Linked DNA regions of Schizosaccharomyces pombe. Each later gene encodes a partner of the first gene's protein in a complex. Each region holds a gene or a part of one and is shown in the gene's direction. Other genes may lie near its edges.

Region 1 (5,593 bases):
AGATCCGTGTCTTCTAAAATCATTGTGATTTTTTTAAAATACCCAAAACCAGAGACGAAAAAGCAAAAACAAAAGAAATCCCAAAGACCCAAAAAAGACAGGAGTCAACCTGTTTTCCTTTGCAAACCAGCTAAATTTTAAACAAATGAGAATCCCAATTAACTACCTATGTGAGAGTATGCGTGAGAGACATACTATGATTAAGTATGGATAAAACGAAATTTCTCTCTTTACCATCCATGAGTCCAACTTTTCAAATTAGATCAAAGCTAGGTAACATGTACCTCGCAGGAGTGAAATCACGGTGTTGATCAAAAAGCAAGAAGCAATTTAAAAGCACTGGTTATTAAAGCATCTAATTTCTCAATTTCATTCTCACTCAACCGCCTATCCCAAAAATACAACTCAATTCCAATGGATGTATGTCTTTTCCAGACCGCGTTGTCTACACTGCGTGAAAAAAAGGAATAATGAGGAATATTGTGTCCCTATATGCAAATGCAATAGCCTTCTCAATGTACAATACGAAAATGTAATATATATTTTGTTATTTATTTTACCAAAGTTCTTTTGACTTTCGTTAAAAAGTATACTGAAAGAGAAAGAGCTAATAAATTGGCTAAGCAAGCAATGTGCACAACCGTTCTATTTAGATAAGCTGACCTACGTAATGCACATGGCGAATGCTATATAAACCAGCCTTTTCCCCTTTGCGCTCAATTCCTTCTTATCTGTACTACATAAGCTTGTTCATTTTTTGACAATTAAGTGAATTTTAAGTACAGCTAAAAAATCTGAAACGCTACTTTCCTTGTTTTTTTCGCCTTCGTTATTTCGCCATGAGTCAAAAGTCGTATATCGTTCAATTGAAAGATTCTGTTGATCCTGCATCGATGGATAAAATAAAATCTGATTTAGAGGCATCTGGTGCTAAAATTGGTCATACTTATGATACCGTATTTAAGGGATTCAGCGTTTCTCTTCCTGAGAATGCAGTAGATGCTTTGTCTGCTCATCCTGAAATTCAACATTTTGAGCCTGACCAAGAGATGCATACTATGAAGAAGGATTAGATTTCTCTCCTTACAGAAAGTTTCGCCTCCATATCAATTGCTTATAGTTGAGCTCGTCACTCGTCGCACGCATGCGTTTCTACACTCAAGTACTTTATGACATTTCATATACATCGTTATGATCAAACAAATACCAATTGTTAATTTGATGATTTTTTTTAGAATTAATTAGTAGGTCGGTCGCGTTTTACCATTTCTTTGTGTCGACCAATTCGACCGTAAAATAGTACACACATTTTTGTAATGTCTTAGTAATATTCGCTTCCCAGTAGTAACTTCCATAAAGATCTAGTTGTTTGGACGAGGAGAGGAATATTGGTACAGCAGTGGGAAATCGAGTAAAGGATTCAAGGTGAAAATAAATAAATAAAGAAAAAGAGAAGCAATTCTTAGAAGGGGGTATACATGAGTATGTTTTAGGTAGAACTGAGATGTTTAACATAGACTACCTTCTTTGTGAGTTGTTGTTTGGCCATCACATTGGTGACAAATATGCTGAAATTTCGAAAAACATGGATTTGTATTTAACAACGAGGCGTAGCAGAAAACCGTAAATTTTTAAAATACAGCTTTTGGAAATTGCTCTTCCATGACTTTTTATTACAGTTGTACTATAAGAATGAATGATTGCACAACAAAATATACTCTCCTATATTTCCTGCCTCACATCAAACATTTAAAGAACAACAGCGAACTCTCGCTATTAGAGTCTGCGATGTTGCGTTCTGTCAAATAATGATATTTATCGTCTCGTTAATTATTAGTTACTGGAATAGTATGATATCGTAAAGTTGACCATTTGCAATGCACTCAGTAACTCTTTTTTTAGTAGGAGTCAATTGTGCGGCATTTGGCAAGTTGAATGGGAGACGTTGCAAGGTTTACTAATTTATTTAAAAATTAATTAATTCGAAAATCAACTGACGACAACCCTTACTTTGGTTTCTTTCACTCTTACTTTGAGTTTTTTAATTGTTATTTTGCGCGGTTAATATTCACAACCTCGTAGATTTTTTGAGATAATTTGCGAACGCGTTTTAGTCTTTCTTTATTTAATGAGTGTACAATGGACATATCCATCAATGACTGCACTGATATCTCGCAAATTAAACAACGGTTTCATGACTTACAAGTCGAATCCCAACGAACCGACGAAAAGCTGGAAAGGCTGCTAAGCGATGCACAGCCGACTGAGAAGTTCAATTCTTTAATCAAGAATATGGCAGAACGTCTAGTGCTGTTTGTAGGTCAGATTGAAGAGCTTAAAGATGCTTTTTGCAATACCACTATCGTTAGCGAGGAGGTCATTGAGAGAATCAAATCGGTCGATAGAGAACAGAATCGTATAAAAGAGTGTCTTTTATTTGTTCGTCAAGTCCGAGATTTCAAAGAATGTTTGCAGGATCTCAACAGAGCTATGCATCACCAACAATGGGAAAAAGCAGCTGATTTAGTACATCGAGCAAGCTCCACATCGCCGGCTATCATCGAAGGGAAATTTGCACATGCCGTTGTTCCCACAGCTGAGCAACCTTTAGCGCCCATGGACACCTTAAAAGAAATCACCGAATCTCTACACACTCTCTTTTGGCGGGAATTCCATAAGGCCGCCCGAAATCAGGATCAAAAAGAAATCACTCGTTACTTCAAACTCTTCCCTTTGATCGGCAAAGAAAAGGAAGGATTAGAAGCTTATTGGCATTTTTTTGGTGGAATTATTGCTTCTAAAGCTAGGGCCACTCTCGATGAGCCCCCTACTCATGCTCTTTTTTTTGCACAGGCATTTACCGGACTGGTCGAGCATGTTGCTTCTATCATACGCGCACATACGCCTCTTGTTCAAAAATATTACAAGGCCAAAAACACCATCACCGTTATTGAAAAATTGCAAGGTGATTGTGATCGCCAAGGTTCCATTATCGTGAATACCATGTTTGACGTGAGAAGAATTGATAACCTCGTAAGCTCTATAGCTTCTTACAAATACATTTTGTTACATGCGAAGTTGAAAAATCGTGCCTTTGTTTCGGATCAAAAGGAATTAGAAAGGGTCTCTCTTCAAACGCTACATCCGATTTTGAATGAAATGTCAGCCATTGTCTCCAAATGGAATATCTCAAAAATATTTATTAGCCGTCTTGTCCTTCGATTGTCCCAATCTGATGGTACTTCGAATGATCCATCTGTCCAGGACAATCTTATTTGTGCATCTATTTTCAATTCTTCAAAGATGGAACTTCTGTTAAAAAAGCAACTTCTTCCATCCTTATTACAATTAGAAACATACTATTTCAGGAGAAGTATAGAAACGTCTTTGGAACTTGAGGAATATTACACAAAGGTTTCCCCATGGATGAGCTCTATTGTAGACGATGTCATGTACGTTACGAAGCAAGTATTCCAACGTGCGTTTTTTACAGTCTCCTCTTTATTCTTCACCAGATTTGTTAACGAAAGCTTAATCCCTATTTTAAGAAATGATTACTATGTCTACCTTTCCCATAATCTTTTAACTGTCTGTAACATTATAAAAGCTCAGTTCCAGAGGCTAAAGAATGCAAATAGCATTCCCGCCAAACAAGTCGAAAACTACATAACATTGGTAAATAGTGCTTCACTCAGCAAGCAATATCTAAAATCAATTGTGGATGGTGTTTCTAGTCGGTTGGAAGAAGTTTTTGCCTTTGCCAAAGACCAAAAATTGGTAAAGAAATCGATTGATAATTTTTTGCAGCTAACCGTTAATTTTGAAAATCTTTGCAAGACTTCTTTCAACATGTACTTTCCGATATTTTTATTACCCCGAATTGAGCAATGCATCGATGATTCCTTTGATGGAATCAACTATGTCTTGTCCTATGAAGACTATACGAAGGAGACAGAACATGAAAGACTGGTAGTTACCCGTCTTCGCAGCGTTTGGGACAGGGTTTTGTTGCTGGAGCAATTTACTCCTGAAAATCAGCTTTCTTTACGCTCTATGGCATGCGAGAAAGCTGCAAGTTATATAGAAAACCTCATACTATATAAGATTCAGTGGAATGATTATGGTGCTATGGCATTAGAAAACGACATTTCTAGCTTAATTACTATCTTTTCCAATGATCAAGCTAATCTCCGACATAGCTTTGAGCGTTTGCAAGAAATTCTAATCTTATTAGTATGGGAAAGTGATTCTACAGCCCCAGAGCAATTGATCAACGATTTAAACCTACAGCTACTATCCATAGATATTGTTAGCGCTATTATGGAAAAGAAAGCGAATGTTCAAGGTGAAGATTAACGACCTTTTTTATTCAGGATATTTGAAGAAGCACCAAAAGTTCTTTAGTTGTAATCTCCTGTCATATCCTAAATTTATCCTAAAAAACGGCGGATCATCGTCTCCACGTTTAGCATGATGCCGATATCTATTTTTTTTTCACTCTATTTTTGTTTTTATTTCTTTATTCGTATATTGAAAATTTTGACAACCGGCTACCCTGACGCAGTGCAACTCGATCATCATTTATCTTAGTTTATTATTTCTTCCACACTTTGATAAGTTTTCCGCTAAAAGTTGAAGCAACCCCTTTGTTAAAAAAATAATACAGGAATGGAGTTAATATTCATGACCAATTGTATATAGCATCAAATATCGACTCTTTTAATCTTTATTAGTTCTAATTTTTCTCGTGATCGGCCTTCTTAAATAAGTATTGTGATTATAATATACCGAGGCGCAAAGGAGTGTGATACAGTTTATATCGTTTAATTATGCAGTTTGCAATCAGTTTAATGAAGGTTAAAATTGCGATGAGTATTAGTTGTGACCTAGAATTCCAGTATACAGGTACAATAAGTAACATACACTGTCAATCTTCAGTTACATAGTATTATATTTTTCACCAATATAGCTAATAACTGAAATTGAGGATGCTTGTACAGTTATGCTTATATTGATAATTTTTTTAGCTGCTCAAATTTTAATAGTTTATTAAAAATAGTATGCCTTTACCATACAATATATAGCGAAAGATAAACAGACCATATGGCATGTATCGATATTTAACGCAGTATAGTATTAATAATATAACGCATTACAATTATGCCATAATATCGCTCTTTGAACATTAAGATACTTTACCTGTTGGTGTATTTTCTCGTGGTTTTTCTTTAACTTTTTCCCTTCCCTTACTACAATCATTTATCATGTCTTCATACATCTTGTTTGGTTTGGAAAACCCTCTGTTGGATTACTATGTTGGTGGTGAAACTGCAACTCTTGAAAAGTATGGCTTGAAGAGCAACGACGCCGTCTTAGCTTCTGAGAGCCAGATGGGTATCTACAAGGAGCCATGCGTTAGCTACAGTGCCGGTGGTGCAGCTCAAAACAGCTGCCGTGCTGCTCAATACGTACTTCCTCCTAACTCTACTGTTTTCGCCGGCTGCGTTGGTCAAGATAAGTTTGCTGATATGCTTCTTGAATCGAACGAAAAAGCTGGATTACGATCTGAGTTTTCTGTTGATCCCACTACACC
Region 2 (7,507 bases), on another chromosome or scaffold:
TTTTTTTTTTTAATACGGTGATAATGCACAAGACTCATTGTTTTATTATGCTTGAGAAAATTATAGCATTTGCTACATCAAACACTAACTAGCCCGTAGAAGCGTATACGTAAAAGATAACAGAACTCTAGAATTTCAATCAAACCCAACTGGGCCTTAGATCGTCAAAATGCCGGGAGGAGATCTATCGTTGAGCAGTGCTATGAGAAACTATCAAAAATTTCGCAATCAAAAAGAAAGGGGGGAAATAAAAGATCAAAACATGCTGTGTCACGAGAATTCAAAATAGTATGCCTTTTAGCTTTCATGTTTTCTCTTTTCGTTTGCTTCGGTATGTAACGCAAAGAAGAATAAAGGAGCATGCTCAGCATTTTATAACTCAAGTAGGAAGAAAATATCAATTTTTTATTTCTTTAATGTACACTTACACGACTACAAAAATTGAGTCATGTACGTTATTTATAATAAACCTTGGGCCTTTAAATCGTTGTAAACCTTTTCAGACATCACATTACCTTCGTCATCTTCCATTTCATTGAGAGACGCCATTGTGGTTTCCCGCTTCTTTGAGTCCACCTTGTACTTTTGCCAAACTAAAAATTTTCGTTAGTAACATAAACTCACCAAATACAATCATTTTTTTCTTACGTTGCAAAGCTTCATCAATAGAAGTAATCTGATTGAATAAAGGTGAAGGTGATATTCCTAAACATTTTAACCCGTATATGTGCCTTTGTTCAGTAAAGTGTTTATCAAATGCCTTTCTACCCATATACACGTAATTTCCACAAATTTCACAGGGAAACTCTTTACCAAGGCCATGGAGTTTCCAAAGCCAGAATGGAATAGGTTTACCATCCCATCCCAATGGCAGCTTCAAAGGGTTATATATCTTTTCCTCATCATCCTGATCACTTTCCTCATCCTGATTTCCCTCAACACTTACGCTTGGAGTCGATTGTTCAAAGGCTTCTCTTTCCGCAGCCTCTACTTCTGCCAAACGTTCTGCAGCCGTCAAAGTTTGTCGACGAACAACATTTTCACGAGTATCCTTTCGAACATCGTCAAGCAAAGACGTTAACTTTTTTATTAAAAACTCGATACGGGCAATCGCTTTAGGTCCTTTTTGCTTCTCGTTCGTATTACTTGTGGTAGATGGACTAGAAGACTGCATCCTCTTAACGGCCTTATTATGTGCTTTGCTCTTTTTGTGAGCTTCAAATACAGTGATCTTCCCAAAAAACTTTTGACAAACTTCACAATAAAATGCTTCCGTCGAGTCTTTCCCATCTTTTTCGGCTTCAGCGTTGTGTGAATACCAACCAGGAAGTCCAGCTTCCCATGCTGCGTCGAATTCAGTATCAAAAACCGCAATAATCTTATCCAAGTTTGACAGAGGGTGTGTCCGGCGATAAAAGGACACCAAGTATTCGTATAAATGAGTTATATAGTTGATATATGTTTGATTTTTTTCAGGCTTGGGGATTTGATCAAAATCCTCCAAATTTTTCAAATATTCTAAGTAAGAAATATGCTGTACATTGCTTAAGTTTATATATTCTTCGTAACATTCGTTAAGATCCATAAATCGACCATACATCTCTTCACCTCGAAATAACGTGTCAATCTCGTCAATCCCGGGTTGAGAAGGCTTTATGGAATATAATTGACTCAGATCCTCAACTTTATGATCAGGATATTTTTTGTGAAACTCTTGGATCTCTCCCAGCGATTTATAAAACTCTGTTAAATCATCGTCTGCATTGATACGCGCAACTTCTTGATCCTTTAATCTAGCGAATTCAAGTTAGCGGTCAATACTACAATTTTCTTGATTTTACTTACCGATCAGAGGATTCATGGGAAACTAACAACTTTTTGCTAGTTTCGCGAAATTGGTTAAGAAATTGTGCACTCTGATGCTCAAGCCGAAGCCGTTCACGAGGAGCCTTAGGGTTGGCAACTTGTCTATCAACAATAGCTTGTTGCAGCCTTTCTAGCTCTTCGTGCGCGTACCTTTCAGTCTCGAGCACGCTTTCTGACATTTGTAAAGTTTTAACTTAATTTACTGGTGTTTAGAAGAATTTATGCTGCAATTGCTTCGCTAGAGTAATACGTTGAGTTGCACTAAATCAACATGCATGTAGTGTCTAACAACATAATCATTTACTATATATCCATCGTTGTTTGCATATTAGTCCATCATCGTGCTGTTCTACTAATCGAAATTCATCTTCCATGATTTACTAGAGATGGTAGTAGATTTGTACTTCAAAGTTCTACATTAACGATCGTGCATTTTCCTTATTTACCATGACTGAAAAAGACGCAGATAGTGGTTCTGACTTGGTTGACGCGTTTTTATCGGATGCTTATTTAAACACAGAAGAACTTCGTAAAGATGGACCGTTTTCACCCGATGAATTTCTTGTTTCCAAAAGATTTTTAGGTCTTGATGGTTTAGTAAATGAATTAAGTCGACTGTTTGAGCAGGTCAATAATGAATTAATGCTACTAGTAAAAGATAACTACCAAGATTTTGTTCACCTTGGAAGCAGAATGAAGAGCGGAAATACTAAAGTTAGTACCCTGATTTCTTCAATACATCGTTCAGAAGAGCAATTAAAGGTAATACAAATAACTACAAACACTATATTTTTAGTTTCAGTCTACTAACAGTTCGCTTAAAGAATTCGAAGCAATCCTTAATCGGGCATTCAACTGAAATTCAAAATAATTTGAAGCACAAACAAGACGTTGAAAACGAAAAGGTAAAATAACGCAAGTCCCAAATAAGTTGGTCATTATGCTAATACATCTAGCTAATTGCTTCTAATTTGCTTTTACTTGACCAAATATTAAAATTCCTCAAAAGTAATGATTCATCACATCCACTTTGGCTTGAAAGTCTTAACAATGCTCAACGTTTATGTGATACATATAAAGATCATCCATGGGTACAATCTATTTCACCTACTCTAATTAACTACATTAAGCATTAGTGTTTAACAGTTTCTGCTTAACTATTTTGTTCCAGGATTTACGTATCTAAGCTTTTGTATAAATATTGAAGATATACTAAATGTAAATCTATATGTAAATGAAAAAATTTCCCCATTTATCCAAAACCAATCCTAACCCTATATTAAAATACTCAATTTTTCAAAAGGTTTAACGTTTGGAACAACCGGTGCTTGTGGTTGTTCTCCAAGAGCAGTCTCAAAGGTGCTAACAGGAACAGAAAGAATGGGAATAACTTTCTCACCAATAGTACCTATAACATTTGCAAAATTACGTTGAAGTTCTGAAGCCTGGGTGGTCATATTACAGCGTACTAGTGCTTCGAGCAAACGATGCACCTCAGGTCGAATTTCTTCAACACGAGCGATCAACCTCCGTAAGGAATTGACAAGGTACTCTTCTTCGAATACTGTTCCCTTTTTTCCTCTCGCGCGTTTTCTCTCTAAACGTCGGTTGTTCTTTGACGTGTTTCTTGTCATTTTAGACGAGTTGCTACTCTTGGTGTATTGCGTATATAAAGACCTGTTTGTTGAGAGACTTGTAGATGCTAGTGAGATGTCATCAGGCGTTTGGTCCTCCATAGTCCCCTCCATCCAACTAATAGGATCTTCTTTTTTCTTCTCTCTAAGCACTAATATTCTTTCGGTTTGTGACTTGATTTGGTTTCTAAAGTCGGCAACCAATTCACTAGCTTCACCAAATGACTCCCCAAGAACGGAAATTAGTAAGTCCTTATATATAGATGAATCACCGGTGGCGCGAGCAATCCGAATCGCTTCAGAATATTGTGAACCTTTGCACATTTGAATGACTGCCTCTCTTGGATTCGAAAGGTATAGTAAGTTGATGCTACCTGCATCACAATGTTCCCGTTTCTCAATACACAAGCTAGCCAAATCTTCAGCAGTTTCCCGGATTAAATCTTCTGAATTTGTAGTCTGCTGTAAAATGGACAAGCATTCCCTCCACATTCCGGCGCTTTTATACGCCTCGATGGCTTCACTGATCTTTCCAACAGATTCATAAGCAATTGCAGCTTCGTTTGATTTACCATTTTCTCGAAGGTATTGTGCAAATATAATTAAAACCTCCTTTTGAGCTTCCTTGTCATACTTGTATAACTCTAATGCTCGAGGGTACAGCTTATGTTGAATAGTAAAGTTTTTGAATTCATCAAACGCATTTTCCATTTCCTTTAGATGTCCTAGTGCTCGCTCATACCGCTTCAGATAACAATCTATATTAAACTTCCTGCGAAGTGATTCCTGTTTTTGAAATTCATGTAAAAATGGGACATATTCACGAGGATCTTTTTGAGACTGCTGGGCAATTAAAAGGGCTAATTTTAGATCATACAGCCCTAATGCATGATCAAATAACATATTGACGTCGACCAAGAAGCACATGTGCTCGATTGCCAGATCTACGGTTTCAGACTGAGCCTTAATTAGTCCAGATATCATGCCTAAAGCTGCTTCAATTTTTGGAGGGCTTTCGCAAAGATAGGAAGTAATTATTGCTTGAAAATGTGTATCACCGTATTTTGAAGTCAGATGTTCGCGAATAATCTTGCACAATAAATTAACTTTATTGTCAATGGTAGTGACAGATTGCTGAGACTGTGACTTGGATGTATCACTGTACATCCCTGTAGTAACGTTTTCAGGCTTTAAAGAAGTGAGAAACAAGTCTAAATAATCGACACGGTACAGCCCATCTACAAAAACAGGAATATTTTTCAAAAATAAATCTGGGTCATAATCAAATAGTATATTTAAATCAAGACGATGAGTGCGGCAAACCTTGAAAGCATCACCGTATTTTAAAGCTTTAATATACGTACGTACTCCGTCAAGAACCATAATTCTAGGGTAAATGGTTTCTAAATTTCCTCTAGGCATTTGTAAAACCACTGCCATTTTCGAAGGCATACTGGCAACAATTTTCGACCCTCTTTCAACCACGCGGCATCGCTCATCGTGTCGATCCACAGCATCGTCTTCTACAACTTGCAGATCATCAACGGTAGAAACCAAGTGTACAAATTTAAGTAGATTTTTAGTTGTTGTAAATAATACAAATCTTTCGGTGCAGAAAAACGATAAGACGCCTGTGCTCAATAGTCTTTGCTCAGCATACAACCTGCCATACGAAGTGAGACCTATAGGAACAAAGGTTTCATGGACAGGAACTACAACAAAATCAGAACAGGGTTTGGGAAACGACAAAGAAATGGATTCAATTGATTTTACATTCAAATTGTAACTTATAAGTTTTCCACTTGAAGTTTGAAAAAATAGCATTTCCGAACAGTAGGAGGCATTAAGTATGCAACTTTCGAAACTTTCGGAAGCCAAAAGTTTCAAGGACTCATTGTCTTCGTCACATTGAAAAACAAAAAACTTTGAACAGTTATTTGTGCCATCTGCCAACAACAGAACCTGATTTCCTGATAAACCAAGAAGACTTTTAAAATTCAGACCTTCAGCATACGTCGAGATATCGAATTCTCCAAATTTAGCAATATCTTCTTGTGAGTTAAAAGTAAACGCCGTCAAGCGCCTATCATCAGCAGCAAAAAGCATGTCAGATGTTGCGTTTATCGAAGTCATTTGTACATTATAGTCTAAAGACAATTTATAACGACACATAGGAGGGGGAATATTACACAAAGACAACGGTGTGACCAACAGCGAAGAGCCATCGATGACAGGTATGAGGCCAAAATCGTTTGGAGAAGTAGAAAATTCTGTTACATATTTGAGGTCAAAAACCACTTTTTCTATGTGATTTTTTCCAGTTATGTAAAGCGTATTGGCATGCTCTGGATGCCAACTAATTAATGCATTTTGAGGAATGTTGATTTCTTTCTTTAAATACCAATGATAATTACCGGTTGTCCAAAGCATCACTGAATTTTCGGTCGAAACGGCCAGAATTGATGATGAAACATTCCAAGCCAATCCAGTATACTTTTCGTCTTCCCTTCGACGTAACGAAAATTCTCCATGACGGAGTCCATTGCGTTCAAAAAAGATGACTTTAGAGGAATTATCGGAACTATCTGACTTAATTGTTGCTAAAACGGATCCAGATGGTTTCCATGAAAGCAAACTTTGTTGCCCATCTTGTGGCTCACTAATACTATCCAACAAACCTTCACGAGAATAAACACGAATAGCACGACGTGGTCCCTTTTCCAGACGGTTTATAGAAACATACTGACTATCACCACGCCAGCAAATATAAGTTTTGCCATCGTCAACATCAGAAAGTTTACCCTCATCTATTTTCTCAGGAAGCGTAGGATCTCGTAATTTAGCACGAACTCGTTTTCCTCGAAACTGGGTTTCAGAACGACCCCAACCAACAGAAATATGCTTATTAAATTCATTCAAATCCGCATCAGATAGAGAAGTTTCTGAAATGATATCAAAATTTTTAGTCATAAACAAAATAGTATCTCCACCCGTTATGATACAAAAAACCTGTTCATCAGTTGACCAACATGAAGCAACAATGCCATTCTCAACATTGCCAATTATTTCCCAAGGCGCTTCCTCAGGCGATGGGTCTACTTTTACCATCACAATGTCACCTCCTTTCAATGATAAACATATAGCCATGGGTTCTCCAAGAAACTGCATGCTTTGAATCTCATCAATGTCCCCATTATCTGAAACGAAAGAGGGAGAATCAAATTCAACTAATTTTGAGACATCGTCATTTTCAGATATTTCATATATCTCGATCCCAGGATTCTCATTATCCAAACCACAAACCACGTAAATTTTATCACTTATACTGTTAAAAGCCAAGGCTTTAATTGAGCCATTTACATTTGGAAAAACATGATGCAGGTGTGTTACCAAATTTTTCATGGTGTGTGTGCTATTGCTGGTGAAGCATCATGAACGCCAGTAATCCTCAATTTTGCGTTGCGAGCGCGAAGGCAATATGGTTTGCCCTCACCACCAAAGGAGTCCTAAATCTATATTTCTACTAAACTTTAAGCATTAGATAAACATCCTAATTGTCTTGAAAATTTAGGACCAAATAGATGTTTCAAATAAGTATAGTGTTTTTGATCGATATACTTGATTCTTAAAAACGAGATAAATTTGTAACGCGCTTTCACGCGTAATTTGCAAATTTTATATTCAAGAATTGTGGTTATTTGTCATTTTAAATAATATTTTCTCATAGAAGACCTGTGCTAGTTCTCAGTCTTATACCAAGCTGGTTCTTATACATGTACAATTAAAAATACTAAAATGGTCAACGATTTTAATGAAAAAAATGGCATTAAGAAAAGACTTCTAGATTTCTTCCCAGTCGTTCTCGAAGGAATTCGTGAAATCTTAGAAAGCATGCAATACTTCCCCGAAGAAACCGAGAAGCTGTTATATGTAAGTTGATTATCTTGCCTTTATAACGCGACAGCTAACCTTCATTTAGTCCATAAAGAGAAATACGTTAGGAGGAA

Evidence for each region.
Region 2: cog4 (region 1) and cog2 share a complex: the UniProt entries of both Schizosaccharomyces pombe proteins name them as parts of the conserved oligomeric Golgi complex.

The regions. Positions count from the first base shown.
Region 1 is NC_003421.2:1,350,756-1,356,348, reverse strand, and holds cog4 (COG complex subunit Cog4), read left to right. Parts: upstream 1-1,903; 5' UTR 1,904-2,139; coding exon 2,140-4,356; 3' UTR 4,357-4,875; downstream 4,876-5,593. Other genes in the region: efm2 (methyltransferase Rrg1), read right to left, coding at 1-23; proteinase B inhibitor Pbi2, read left to right, coding at 840-1,073; ado1 (adenosine kinase), read left to right, coding at 5,265-5,593. UniProt on the Schizosaccharomyces pombe protein: Component of the peripheral membrane COG complex that is involved in intra-Golgi protein trafficking. COG is located at the cis-Golgi, and regulates tethering of retrograde intra-Golgi vesicles and possibly a number of other membrane trafficking events.
Region 2 is NC_003423.3:853,026-860,532, reverse strand, and holds cog2 (COG complex subunit Cog2), read left to right. Parts: upstream 1-2,204; 5' UTR 2,205-2,313; coding exon 2,314-2,628; intron 2,629-2,690; coding exon 2,691-2,771; intron 2,772-2,822; coding exon 2,823-3,002; 3' UTR 3,003-3,140; coding exon of another isoform or gene 3,141-6,902; 3' UTR 6,903-7,007; downstream 7,008-7,507. Other genes in the region: U2 snRNP-associated protein sap61, read right to left, coding at 460-593, 649-1,793, 1,846-2,045; elp1 (elongator subunit Iki3), read right to left, coding at 3,141-6,902; spo9 (ER farnesyl pyrophosphate synthetase Erg20), read left to right, coding at 7,296-7,430, 7,480-7,507. UniProt on the Schizosaccharomyces pombe protein: Required for normal Golgi morphology and function.